Linked DNA regions of Xenopus tropicalis. Each later gene encodes a partner of the first gene's protein in a complex. Links are inferred from orthologs where the notes say so. Each region holds a gene or a part of one and is shown on either strand. Other genes may lie near its edges.

The links. Proteins that work in one complex are often made in the same cells at the same time.
Region 2: the proteins of taf8 (region 1) and taf10 are in contact, whole or in part, in a crystal structure (PDB 4WV4), measured with the Homo sapiens proteins. The link is inferred for Xenopus tropicalis from reciprocal best matches to the Homo sapiens genes TAF8 and TAF10. Residues at the interface, in NP_612639.2 of Homo sapiens: Arg33, Thr36, Leu37, Val40, Ser43, Leu44, Leu45, Ala48, Gly49, Phe50, Glu51, Ser52, Ala53, Glu54, Ala56, Ser57, Thr60, Leu61, Met64, Leu65, Gln66, Tyr68, Ile69, Ser70, Ile72, Gly73, Arg74, Ala76, Lys77, Cys80; in NP_006275.1 of Homo sapiens: Pro115, Leu116, Phe119, Leu120, Leu123, Tyr126, Thr127, Thr129, Ile130, Pro131, Val134, Thr135, Tyr137, Tyr138, Leu139, Ala142, Gly143, Phe144, Glu145, Ser147, Asp148, Arg150, Ile151, Leu154, Ile155, Leu157, Ala158, Ala159, Gln160, Lys161.
Region 3: taf8 (region 1) and tbp share a complex: the UniProt entries of both Homo sapiens proteins name them as parts of the TFIID basal transcription factor complex. The link is inferred for Xenopus tropicalis from reciprocal best matches to the Homo sapiens genes TAF8 and TBP.

What each region holds. Positions count from the first base shown.
Region 1 is NC_030678.2:70,731,924-70,736,077, reverse strand, and holds the start of taf8 (transcription initiation factor TFIID subunit 8), read left to right. Parts: upstream 1-1,354; 5' UTR 1,355-1,397; intron 1,398-3,715; 5' UTR 3,716-3,827; coding exon of another isoform or gene 3,828-3,842; intron 3,843-4,154. UniProt on the Homo sapiens protein: The TFIID basal transcription factor complex plays a major role in the initiation of RNA polymerase II (Pol II)-dependent transcription.
Region 2 is NC_030678.2:177,470,375-177,474,538, reverse strand, and holds the start of taf10 (transcription initiation factor TFIID subunit 10), read left to right. Parts: upstream 1-1,364; 5' UTR 1,365-1,375; coding exon 1,376-1,544; intron 1,545-2,595; coding exon 2,596-2,747; intron 2,748-2,981; coding exon 2,982-3,046; intron 3,047-3,976; coding exon of another isoform or gene 3,977-4,009; coding exon 4,010-4,124; intron 4,125-4,164. UniProt on the Homo sapiens protein: The TFIID basal transcription factor complex plays a major role in the initiation of RNA polymerase II (Pol II)-dependent transcription.
Region 3 is NC_030681.2:50,706,182-50,710,480, forward strand, and holds the start of tbp (TATA-box-binding protein), read left to right. Parts: upstream 1-1,499; 5' UTR 1,500-1,590; coding exon 1,591-1,641; intron 1,642-2,266; coding exon 2,267-2,586; intron 2,587-3,743; coding exon 3,744-3,831; intron 3,832-4,299. UniProt on the Homo sapiens protein: The TFIID basal transcription factor complex plays a major role in the initiation of RNA polymerase II (Pol II)-dependent transcription.

The sequences.
Region 1 (4,154 bases):
AATTTTGATGCGCCTGCTCCCTTTTTTGTTGTAACAATGCCCAATTTGACGCACAAAAAAAAATTCTGCGCAACAAATTTTTCTGCAGTGAATTTTCACGGAAGTTTTGCAAAACAATTTGCCAATTGCCAAATTCGCTGGGAATCCACGTCTAGCGAAAACATTTGTTCATCACTAATCAGTATACATATGTGTATCATACACAACAAAAATGCATTTCAACCAATTTTTCTTTGGTTTATAACAGAGCAATGCTGGGATTGTATATAGTCTATCAAATAAGAGAATGTCTATGTATTTCAGAGAGCTATTATATGCCACACTAGTGCAAGAAGGACTTGAGGATTGAGTTATAGTTGAACCCAACCATGATGCTGGATACAGCTGTGCTCAGCATGATGTTTGGGTTAAAATGTAACTCACTAGAGTTATTGTATCTAGATTCTGCATGTCATTTATAATGGAGGGTGTATGCTGCTACTGAAAAATACCCTACAGCGAATGCAGGGACTTATACTGTGGCAAACTGGGTCAATATAGAAGGCTGTCATGGTAACCTGCTAATAGTCTCACAGTGTTTTTCAGCTGACTTGTTGCTAATATGTGTTATATACCAACATCACTATTGTCACAAGCAATATGTAGTTAAAACCATATCTATTTCATATCCATGTAGAAAAGTTTAAAAAGTACTTCACATGAAAAGGCCCTCACCAGTTGTTTGCTATTAGTACCATTCATGCACGATAAATAAATTTCTGCTCACTGCATGATAAACATTTTATTTACAGCACAAATTATTTACAGCAATTTTCCACTTCTGCTTTCGTGGGTTAAGTAAAGTGCTTTTGTAACTTTCCTATGATCCCTGTAATTATAACAAGCCAGCCGAAAGACGTCCTTAGACTAACGTTAAAAAATGGTCTGACAACCAAACACGTTAGTTCGTGAGGCATTTGTAAGCTGAGGGGATCTTATAACCTTATAATACATGTTCGCAAAAGTGTCCACATGAGGCTTAAGGGTAGATGACTTTTGACATGTATTTAGATGATTTAGGCGCCCCTTAGATACTTACGATGTAATATTTGTAGAATTTGTGTGCGCAACTGAGGTTTTAGGTATGTTATAGACGACAGGAAGCGAAGCTCCTGGCGATTGTATTGATCGGCGATGTCACGTGATCGGCGATTACGTTTAACGTTAATGCGTACGCGACGACGTCGCATACGCATGAAGACAGAAAGGAAAGCGCAGGGCAACAATCGCCGTGCCTTCGGATTGGATGACTCCTTTTGTTATTTTTTTTCTTTTTAATGGCGATATTTACATGGTAGCGCTGAAAAGAAAAGGGAAGATGGCTGCCCTGTGGAACTTTATTTGATACGCTCGTAATGGTAATGCGAGTAAACGTTTGAAATGTTTTTATACCAGTTTAGGGGCTTTTTACAATAAAGACACTGTGGCGGATTTATTTTAAGTTTAATGGGTGGATATGTTAAATGTATAAACATACAATAAACTGTCTGATGATGTATTAACTAGTAGAGCCTTCAGAATTATGTTATTAATTTAGAGCTTCAGAGATCGGCATGGAATATGGCTTAAATACGTCACATATGTGCCACCAAACAAGTAAAAATGACCAAAAACCACACAAGTAATTCCATTCCCCTATCTTCTGCCATTTGTCTCCTCTCTGGCTCGCCGAAGGCACATTCTAATGCAACAAATCTCCATGCAAAAGTCAAGTAGCTAGTCACTAGTGGGCAGATCTAGATGGGGGGCTGCTTCAGTGTCACGAACATTTGGTCCATTTCTCTGCTGCACTGTCTAGTTTGCCTCCTCTGCCAGTGCTGCATGGAAATAACAAGCACAATGTTCCTACGAATTTTTTTGGGGGGAATGTCCCTTAAGCTTTCTATGTGACCTTTCACTGCTACATTACATGGAACGTATGATATATGCAATTTGCAAACAATGCCAATTGGATATTGTACTTATCTGCTTTAATTTAGGATTTTTCCATTTCCCCTAAAATGGATAGGGGAGCTATGATAGCTTTACTATCTCATTCCCTGTTGTATGATCTCAGTCCACGTTGTCTTTAATAAAGTTTCTATTTATTTTTTAAATGCAGCATGCAGAGGCTCTACTTTGTTTGGAATTTAGGATTGGTTCATCTCTTCTGGCTTGGGTACAAAGGAACACTTTATAATATCTTGTTTACTATCTGTACTGCAATTAAATTTTGCATAATAAAACTGAAAACATTCAGATACCAGTTAGATTTCAGTGTATGTAAGTATGTATATAGGTATGGGAAACCTTATCTGGAAAGTTATGTAGTCAGCACCAAATTACGTACTTGATCCCAGCTAAGATATCCTTATTGGAGGTAAAACAAACCTATTGGGTTTATTTCATGTCTAAATTATTTTTTAGTAAGCTTAAGGTATAGCGGTCCAAATTAAGCAAAGACCCCTTGTCCATAAAACACCAGACCGAGCATTCTGGATAACAGGTTCCATAGCTGTAATTAAAAAAACATATGATCTTTCTCTATAATAAAAACTTGTACTAGACCGTTACTTGTATACATAACTAAGCTACATAAATCCATATTTATGGAAAACAATGGAAGTATGCAGTCTTAGGAGTATAGTTGTACAGCTCTGAGGCAGGGAGCCAAGTCTAGACCAAACTCTGTGAGTCCCATTCAGGAGGCCCTGGGATATGATATGTAGTCATAAAGTATCATAATGTATGTCACTCAACTTTGCTTATTCACATGTGAAGTATGACAATGGTAATGTCTTGGAAGGTCTCAGTTGCTGCAGAAAGAGGCAGTTCACTAACTCAAGCAACCAAAAAAATTTGTTGTGTGAGGTTAAAATTTTCTAAACCTTAAAAATATGACCAATAGCAAATTAGCTCGGAATGTTGCTTAAGTCATACTAAAAGTTAATATAAACTGCTTTAATGGAGAAGGCAAGTGCTCCCTTTGGATCAAGATGGTGGTCCTGCGGTTCTTGTGTGCAAAAGGGTATGCCCGTTTGTAACAAATGTTCTTGTGTTGTGTATTTTATAGGAGTTACTGATCAGTAAAGAAAGCTGTTCCTTTAATCATCCCATTTTTGATTTAAGGCCCCTGGTTGTCTTCAGCCATACCTTTCAATGTATGCCAATTGTACTGGTTTATGCTTTTGCTGTTATTAATGGAGTTTTGACTATGCCAATGTAACCTTGCAAAATCTGTATTATACTCCCAAACTTTGTGCTATTAAATATTTTTGCTTAGTTTGGTATAACATATCTAATATTTATTGAAATGTGTTTAAACTAAAATATTCAATGGCCCAGTTTTATATATAATATTTTTTTGTTGCACTTTACACCAACTTTTCTATTTCCAAGTTTTCTATTGTATTGAAATGTTACTCCCATTCTCCAAGCACAATCACATCAAGAACGTTTGTGTGGGGGCAACAATAATAAAAAAGGGCATATGTATTTTTTACATTAACAAGCTTATCTGTCAGTAAATTTACATTTTCTGTCCACCTCTTTCTGCATGGAGTTGGGCTGTTAGTTGGTATTTTTCAGGTCTTTCTCTGGCCTGTTTGTAGGTCTCAGCTGGCTGCTAACATTTTGTGTGTTTGAGGTGTTTTAGAACATGTCATTAACATGTCATTTTTGTCTCTAATTTACTTAGGTACAAAGGGAAAAGTTTTTGTTCCAGCTCTTTTAGAAATCAAGCTGCAGTCAAAAAGACTGTCTCCTGTACTGAGGTGCTAGAAGTTGTATATAATACAGAAACGCTTTTTATGTTTCCTACAATTGTAAGTGCAATTTGTGTTTAATAAAGTTTGTTATTTTAAATACTGCACGTGCAGGCGCTACTTAATGTTTGTAATTTAGGATTTTTTAATCTCTTTTACCATGGGTAACCAAGGAACACTGTATAATGATTTTATCTCCTATCTGTGCTGCAAATAATTTTTGCATAATAAAATCTCAAAATATTTAGCTACCAGTTAAATTTCATTGTATGTTGTTATGCCAGCAGAAAGCCCCCCAGTTATGGAAAGGCCATCTCCCATTTTAAGCCAATAATTTTATTTTTTTATATCTGATTTTTCTTTGTTATAATA
Region 2 (4,164 bases), about 110 Mb from region 1:
GGCGAGTGTGTTAGTTACTGACGGCGAGTGTATTAGTTACTGACGGCGAGTGTATTAGTTACTGACGGCGAGTGTATTAGTTACTGACGGCGAGTGTGTTAGTTACTGACGGCGAGTGTATAGTTACTGACGGCGAGTGTGTTAGTTACTGACGGCGAGTGTGTTAGTTACTGACGGCGAGTGTATAGTTACTGACGGCGAGTGTATTAGTTACTGACGGCGAGTGTATTAGTTACTGACAGTGAGTGGGTTAGTTACTGACAGTGAGTGGGTTAGTTACTGACGGCGAGTGGGTTAGTTACTGACAGTGAGTGGGTTAGTTACTGACAGTGAGTGGGTTAGTTACTGACAGTGAGTGGGTTAGTTACTGACAGTGAGTGGGTTAGTTACTGACAGTGAGTGGGTTAGTTACTGACGGCGAGTGTATTAGTTACTGACAGTGAGTGGGTTAGTTACTGACAGTGAGTGGGTTAGTTACTGACGGCGAGTGGGTTAGTTACTGACAGTGAGTGGGTTAGTTACTGACAGTGAGTGGGTTAGTTACTGACAGTGAGTGGGTTAGTTACTGACAGTGAGTGGGTTAGTTACTGACAGTGAGTGGGTTAGTTACTGACAGTGAGTGGGTTAGTTACTGACAGTGAGTGGGTTAGTTACTGACAGTGAGTGTAAAGAGACCCCCATAATGGCTGCCTGAGTGGAGGCGGGGGGGGGGGGGGTGGATCAATAAAAAGAAAGTCCCAGCTCCCGGGAGGCGGACACTCACCCACTTGCTCAGTGAATCAATGTCGGAGCAATTTGGATCCGGTTTTCACTCTTGTGGTTTCCCAGTCCGTTTTCGGTCTGCGAACTCCGCCATATTGCTACACCCAAATACTGGCCTCAAGCAGCCCCTGCCCCAGGGTAAAGTCCAGCCCGCCGGCTCCTAACAGCCCCGGTTTGGTTGCCTGTGGCGCTTTTCACGCTCAGAAGAAGGAGTTGGTGTCGCGCCTCACTGTCAGTCTGACTCCCATGCACTTCGCTAAGCTCATTTCCGTGTGTAGCAACATGGCGGCACTCTAGCGTGCCTCAGCACGTAACCAAGCGACATCCAATCACAGTCTGGCTTTGTTCAAATCCTAACGCAGCTTTGCTATCACCGCTTTGATTGGCAACATTTTAAGCCAGTAAATGGCCGCGCCCTGGCAGGTAGCCAATGGGCTTTCTACGTAAGGTTATGTTTCTCCTGAGCTGTGTAGCTGCCGCATTGGCCGGTAGGGGGCGCTGGGACACGCCTTGCAGGAAGATGGCGTAAAGGCACTGCCCGTTGTTTTGGGGAGGAGATTAAGTGGAGGAGCTGTTTCCGGGTGTTGACGGAAGTTCCTGTCCAAGGGTGAAGATGAGCGGGACGGAGACAGCGCCAGACTCTCTATCTGCTATTGCCTCAGTCCAGCCCGGTCCGGCCCCAGAGAGTAAGCCCAGCCCGGCAAACATTCCCAAACCCGGGCCTGCCGCGGCCTCTGCAGCTGCTCTACCCGGGAGGGACACGGGGGAGCGAAGAGCCAGCGGTGAGCGGCAGCAACTGAACCGGAGAGGGAGGGGGGGGTACTCACAGGGGACTGGGACTCCAGGAAAGGCCTGGGGAGAGAAACCCAAGCATGGAGGGGAAAGGGAGAGCCGGGGGGGCAGCTGGAGCAGAGAGGGGCCCGGGGGGGGCAGCTGGAGCAGAGAGGGGCCGGGGGGGCAGCTGGAGCAGAGAGGGGCCCGGGGGGGCAGCTGGAGCAGAGAGGGGCCCGGGGGGGGCAGCTGGAGCAGAGAGGGGCCGGGGGGGGCAGCTGGAGCAGAGAGGGGCCGGGGGGGCAGCTGGAGCAGAGAGGGGCCCGGGGGGGGCAGCTGGAGCAGAGAGGGGCCGGGGGGGCAGCTGGAGCAGAGAGGGGCCCGGGGGGGCAGCTGGAGCAGAGAGGGGCCCCGGGGGGGGCAGCTGGAGCAGAGAGGGGCACCGGGGGGGGCAGCTGGAGATGAGAGGGGGCCCCGGGGGGCAGCTGGAGCAGAGAGGGGCCGGGGGGGCAGCTGGAGATGAGAGGGGCCCGGGGGGGGCAGCTGGAGCAAAGAGGGGCCCGGGGGGGGGCAGCTGGAGATGAGAGGGGGCCCCGGGGGGCAGCTGGAGATGAGAGGGGCCGGGGGGGCAGCTGGAGATGAGAGGGGCCCCGGGGGGCAGCTGGAGATGAGAGGGGGGCCCCGGGGGGCAGCTGGAGATGAGAGGGGGGCCCCGGGGGGCAGCTGGAGATGAGAGGGGGGCCCCGGGGGGCAGCTGGAGATGAAAGGGGTCCCGGGGGGCAGCTAGAGAGGAGGGGGCTGTCATAGCTGAGAATTGCCCTTTGCTAGGGCAGGGGGTAGGAGTGGTGCCGGGGGTGAGAAGGGGAACGTATGGAAGGAGCTGGGTGAATGGACCTGTTTCGGGGCAAATGGTGCCCACTGGGTTGTACAATGGGGAGTACAGTTTGGGGACAGATAGGGTGGGGGGGTATTTGGAGAATTGGGCGCAGGTAAGTGCCCGGCTGTGTGACTATTGCCCAGTCCTTTCCAATTCCAATGTATGTTCTGTTATTGATCCTCCAGTCCCTGCATCAGCGGCTGCTGCCCCCTCCGAGGGATCCCTCTCTAATGGCGTGTACCTGCCCCCGGGGGTGGCAAATGGCGATGTCAAACCTGTCATTTCCACTACCCCCCTGGTGGATTTCCTGATGCAGCTGGAGGACTATACCCCTACGGTAAGTGTCCCTTGGGTCTGTATGGGAAATGCTGTGCCCTAGGGTACTGGGGGGGGGCAGTGCCAGGCATTTGCCCCACCTTACACAGTGTCAGGGTGCAGCTTGTGCCTACAGAACATCATTTCTCTGTATGTATGTATATCTGTTGGTGGGAGCTGCCATATTGTTTCCCTGTATCATTGCTTGTATCTGTTCCAACATTTGCTTTACATTCCTTCTCCCGATTTCCTGCAGATCCCAGATGCCGTCACTGGATATTACCTGAACCGGGCCGGGTTTGAAGCATCCGACCCACGCATGTAAGTACAACTCCTGCTGCCATACGTTATTGGCCCGTGGGTACCGGAGCTTCTCAGAGCCCTGTAGCAGTTGCCTCGACTAGGAAGAACCTTCCCTTATTCTGGCCAGCCTGTAGCGCTAGGTTATGGGCCGCCGTGGCCAGTAGCCGTTTGCTCTGTGCCTACCAGGAGAGCTGACAGTCACGCTTATGGCCACAGCAACTGGAGGCCTAAATAGGGGTTAAAGTGCCCGTTCTGGTGCTGCCATTCCGTTATATGTATTATCCCTCTTTATTATTGTTTATCTTGCTTTCTAGGAACTGTAATGTAATTGGTGGAGACTCGTTTGGTGAGATTGCCAAATGAGCGGATCTTCTCCACCTACAGTGGGCAATACCGGGCTAGGGCCAAACCATCGCAATGGCAGATATCGGTTGGGTAGGCCCGTCGGGGGGTGCCCATACACGGGCAGATAAGCTGCTGAATTGGTCTGAAGGACCCGAATCGGCCCTTAAAGGAAAAGTAACACTAAACATTTTTAACTAAAAAATCTATTCTGCCCTCCCCCAATAATTGCCCTATCCTGAAATCCATTTGTTATTGTGAATGCATCAACTATGCGGTGATCGACTGATCGAGCCTAGCCTGACTCATTCCTATATACAGAAGTCAGGGGCTAGATCAGTCGATCACCGCATAGTTGATGCATTCACAATAACAAATGGATTTCAGGATAGGGCAATTATTGGGGGAGGGTAGAATAGATTTTTTTAGTTAAAAATGTTTAGTGTTACTTTTCCTTTAACCCTAGCAACCAATCAGAGTTGCTTTCATTAGTCTTACTGCAGTTATCCAATCAGGCCTGTATGGTGATTACTATGAGTTCAGCACAGCATCTGTATTGACTTCGCTTATTTTGAATTTCACACCGGATCCTCTCGATCTCTGTAGTGATCCGCTGACCCCACCGCTTGTCTCTCCTAGAATCCGGCTGATCTCCTTGGCATCTCAGAAGTTCATCTCTGACATTGCAAATGACGCCTTGCAGCACTGTAAGATGAAGGGGACGGCCTCCGGGAGCTCTCGCAGCAAAAGCAAGGTACCCCGCCAGCAAATGCCCTTCAGTGGGGCTATTGTGC
Region 3 (4,299 bases), on another chromosome or scaffold:
TGGGTGTGAGAGGTACAGTGGTACAGTCTAGGGTGGTATATGGGTGGTACTGTCTAGGGTGGGTATGAGAGGTACAGTGGTACTGTCTAGGGTGGGTGTGAATGGTACAGTCTAGGGTGGGTATGAGTGGTACAGAAATATGAGAGTTCTGTAGTGCACATGCCCTTGCCCAAGCCTGGCAGGTTATGCCTGAAAGGGGGTGGGGTTGCTGAAGCAGGTAAACTAAGTGGCTGGAATCCCTGAGGATGCCTAATAATATTTACTACTACCAGTCATTTTACTTTTCCTTCTCCTTTAAAGCTGGGCAAATTTTAGATTTGCTTCTTTGGCCTTGAGCTGACCAATTTGATTTGGAGCCATTTTATCTAGTCTAATAGTTTCTACTATTTTCTAGCTCATTCTGTAGTGCTACAGCCTAAACTCAGCAATAAACCTACGGCTCCCTGTACTGTTGAGGCATGATCTTACTGAGTACAATGGAAATTAGGCACTAAGTTATGTACATAAACCAACCTTGTGTTGTGAAACTAATTTGTGCGTTTAATTGGTTCCTCAGAGAAAAAGGTTTAGGGGCACATATAGCAAAATTTGTATTATTGTACTACAAAATCTCAGAATTTAGATATAACAAGGCTTGATTATTACATCTGAATGAATACGTTTATGGTTTTTATAGCTTCTTAGGGCTCTGGCACACGGGGAGATTAGTCACCCGCGACAAATCTCCTTGTTCGCGGGAGACTAATCTCCCCAAAATGCCATCCCACCGGCGATTCAGTGAAATCGCGGAAGTTGCCTTGAGAGGAAACTTCCGCTATTTCACTGAAATCGTGCCGCCACGTATGCCATCCCACCAGCGAATGACATTTTCGCCGGTTGGATGGCATTTCGGGGAGATTAATCGCCCGCGAACAGGGAGATTTGTCGTGGCGACTAATCTCCCCGTGTGCCAGAGCCCTTAAGAGATTTGGAGAAACTAAAACCACACGCAGGTCATTTTACAAATTTTGCTTGAAGGAATCCCATTGTGACATCTGCAAGTGTATAATTTGACTACACCATTTTAGTATACCTTTTTTTGTCATTTCAAGCAATTTGCTGCTGCTAATATTATAAATATCCCCTACATCTTATCTTTTTTTTTTTTTTACTTTATTTGTTCTTTTAAACAGTCATCTAGTTGTTGGGTCACTGATTTATACAGTAGGATTAATAGCAGATTAGCTTCATGGTGTTGTCTTTACTGCTTGCTATGGTCACATAAGGTTGTCATACACTTGCAGGTTCTAGCTGCCAATTTAGTTCCTTCAGACCAATTTGGCAGCTTATCTGCCTGTGTATGGGCACCCCCAACACGGATCGGGGACCACATTGGCTCGTTGTTATGGCCCTCTGTCCTACTGTTAACTTATCACATTTACCAATACAGGTGCTAACTGCTGAATGTAAGCTATGTTTTAATGTTTTTTTTTTTTTTTTTTTTTTAACTTCTTTTTATAGGATTTTTGTCTGCTGCTGGAATGGTTTATTTTAATTTGTAGGAACAGCACACTTTGTTTTATTCTTAGTGGGATTTCCAATTAACGCAACATGGATCAAAACAACAGTATACCCCCTTTCCAGGGGTTGGCATCACCACAGGTAAGTGTGAACCCTTTTTTCCCTTTTACCACAATTCCCCCTCCATAAAATAAAATGCCTTTAAAAGCATTGTAATATTCACTTCATTTGCACTTTCTAAATTGGGGGGTATACGGTATACCGGGTGTGGTTAATTTGGACAACAGATACAATACTGAAGAATGAAAAAATAGAAGAAAAACTTGAGACACAGGCCAATATGCTTCCAACTGACTTAGGGGGGAAATGCAAGTCAGCAGCCAATATTGGCTTCAATGCAAATGTTTCTCTTGCTGGGGCGCTTGTCGTAATAGGTGGAGGAACGCCATCCTGAGGGCTCTTGAACACAAAACAGATGTGTTCCGTTCTCATTCATGCATGTGAATGAATATAGAGCTGCATTTCATCCTATGCTTCCTTGTGGTGGAAAGGAGAAGAAATCCAATTCGGGAGACTGCAGGGTGAAAACACCTGTGTGTAAGAGCCCTTAGCTTGTCCTACTCCATGTGCAGGGCTATACCATAAGATTTTCATTAAAGAAATCCCCATGTACTAAGCCCATTTTAACTTGTGATTCAACTTGTGTGTGGGTTTGAGAGCAAATTTGTTATAATTTTTTTTTTTTTTTTGTCTTTTATTTCTGTAGGGTTCTCTGACTCCAGGGATTAACATTTTCAGTCCGTTGATGCCCTATGGAACTGGTCTGACCCCTCAACCTGTACAAACAACTAACAGTTTATCAATATTGGAAGAACAGCAAAGACAACAACAACAGGCCCAGCAGTCTACATCACAACAAGGCAATCAGGGGTCAGGCCAAACCCCACAACTGTTTCACCCACAGACTCTTACCACAGCACCTCTTCCAGGAAATACACCCTTATACCCCTCCCCAATGACTCCCATGACCCCTATTACTCCTGCTACCCCTGCATCAGAAAGTTCAGGAATTGTTCCTCAGCTACAGTAAGTCTCATCATCCTGGGGGACATTTTGCAGATATCATTTGTCAGATTATCTGTATCTGCACACTTGTCAACAAATCCTTATGTTTGTCTGTACATTTCTGTAGTGCCATAGAGCATACAACTCTGCAAATGGTAAATATTAGATATACAGGAAATGGAAACATATTCTGGCATATTTTAATTTTAGACAGTAATGACTTTATTTGTTATACCACATTTGAGTGTGGCCTGTCAAAATTAAAAGACCTTATCTTTGTTTTACCTTTGGTACTAATGAGTATTTTAACAGTGCTGCATTACCTTTGTTTACCCTGTGAGTGTTACATTTGTTTAAAAAAAAAAAAAGCTACATTTCTTAAAAATATAGGAGTCCATATTAGATTTAAAAGCTACCAGGCCAGGGGTGTGTGTATATATTAGGTCTAGAAACAGATGCAGACGGTTTCCTCATTTCAGACTTTTACACCACATTCTTGAGACTGAATTGATGTCATATTTAAAGTGAAACTTTATTGAGGGAGAAAGACTTGTCTTGATATGTAATTTAGCATGTACAGTAGTATCCTAGTTTTAATGTGTCCTATATCTGTCCAACATGTGTGAAAAATAGAACAAGTAAAGAATTGGGAAATTAAAATAGTTTAGCACTTTTACAAGTACTAATAGTGCAAATTTTTTTTTTGTAATACTTTTTAAAAATTTCCCATGGGGCTAGCCATGTTCATTTCCCAGGGTGCCACAGTCATGTGACTTTTGCTCTGATAAAGGTCAGTCACACTTTACTACTGTGCTGCAGATAGGAGTGATATCATCATCCCCCTGCAGGCGATCAGCAGAACAATGTAAGTTAGCAAGCTAGCAGCTCCCAGTAGATATCAGAACAGTACTCAATAGTAAAAAAAAAAAAAAAATTCAAGTCCAGTAGCTCTGGCTCCTTCTGAAAGCTCAGACTCGGGCACAATGCACTGATCTGGCTGCCTACAACTAAAAAATTACTTTTGTTGGTTTAAGAATAAAATTTTAAATGGTAAATTATTTGCTATGTAAACAGTAATTTAGAAATATAAGTACACAATAAAAATTAATGACTGAATACCTTTAAATACAGTGAGCAAAAATATTTGGATTTGTAATAACTGCTTTTACATTGTTCAGGAACATAGTGTCCACTGTAAATCTTGGCTGCAAACTGGATCTGAAAACAATTGCACTTAGAGCGCGAAATGCAGAGTATAACCCTAAGGTAAGACAAAAGCCTTTGTTGTATCTTATTCACCTAATAGTTGCTTTCACTGTGACAGACGGGGAGATTAGTTGCCACGTGACAAATCTCCCTTGTCGCGAGCAACTAATCTCCTCGAAATACTATCCCATTGGCTGGAATGTAAATTGCCAGTGGGATGGCATAAGCATCGCCGAAGTTTCCTCTCAAAGATGCCGCGTATGCCATCCCACCTGCGATTTACATTCTAGCCGGTGGGATGGCATTTCGGGGAGATTAGTCGCAACTAATCATCTCGTCTGTCACAGCCCTAAATATTCTTATCTATCTGTAAAAGTCATTCAGGAGAACACACTGGTGCATTGTATGGCACTTAATTCTGTAAATGTGTGATGAGAAAAGGATTTCCTGTTTGTAATTTTGTCCTGCCATACCCACTGGGCATAGTATTTTTATGCTGGCCTAGAAGTGGCATGAGGATGGGTTATC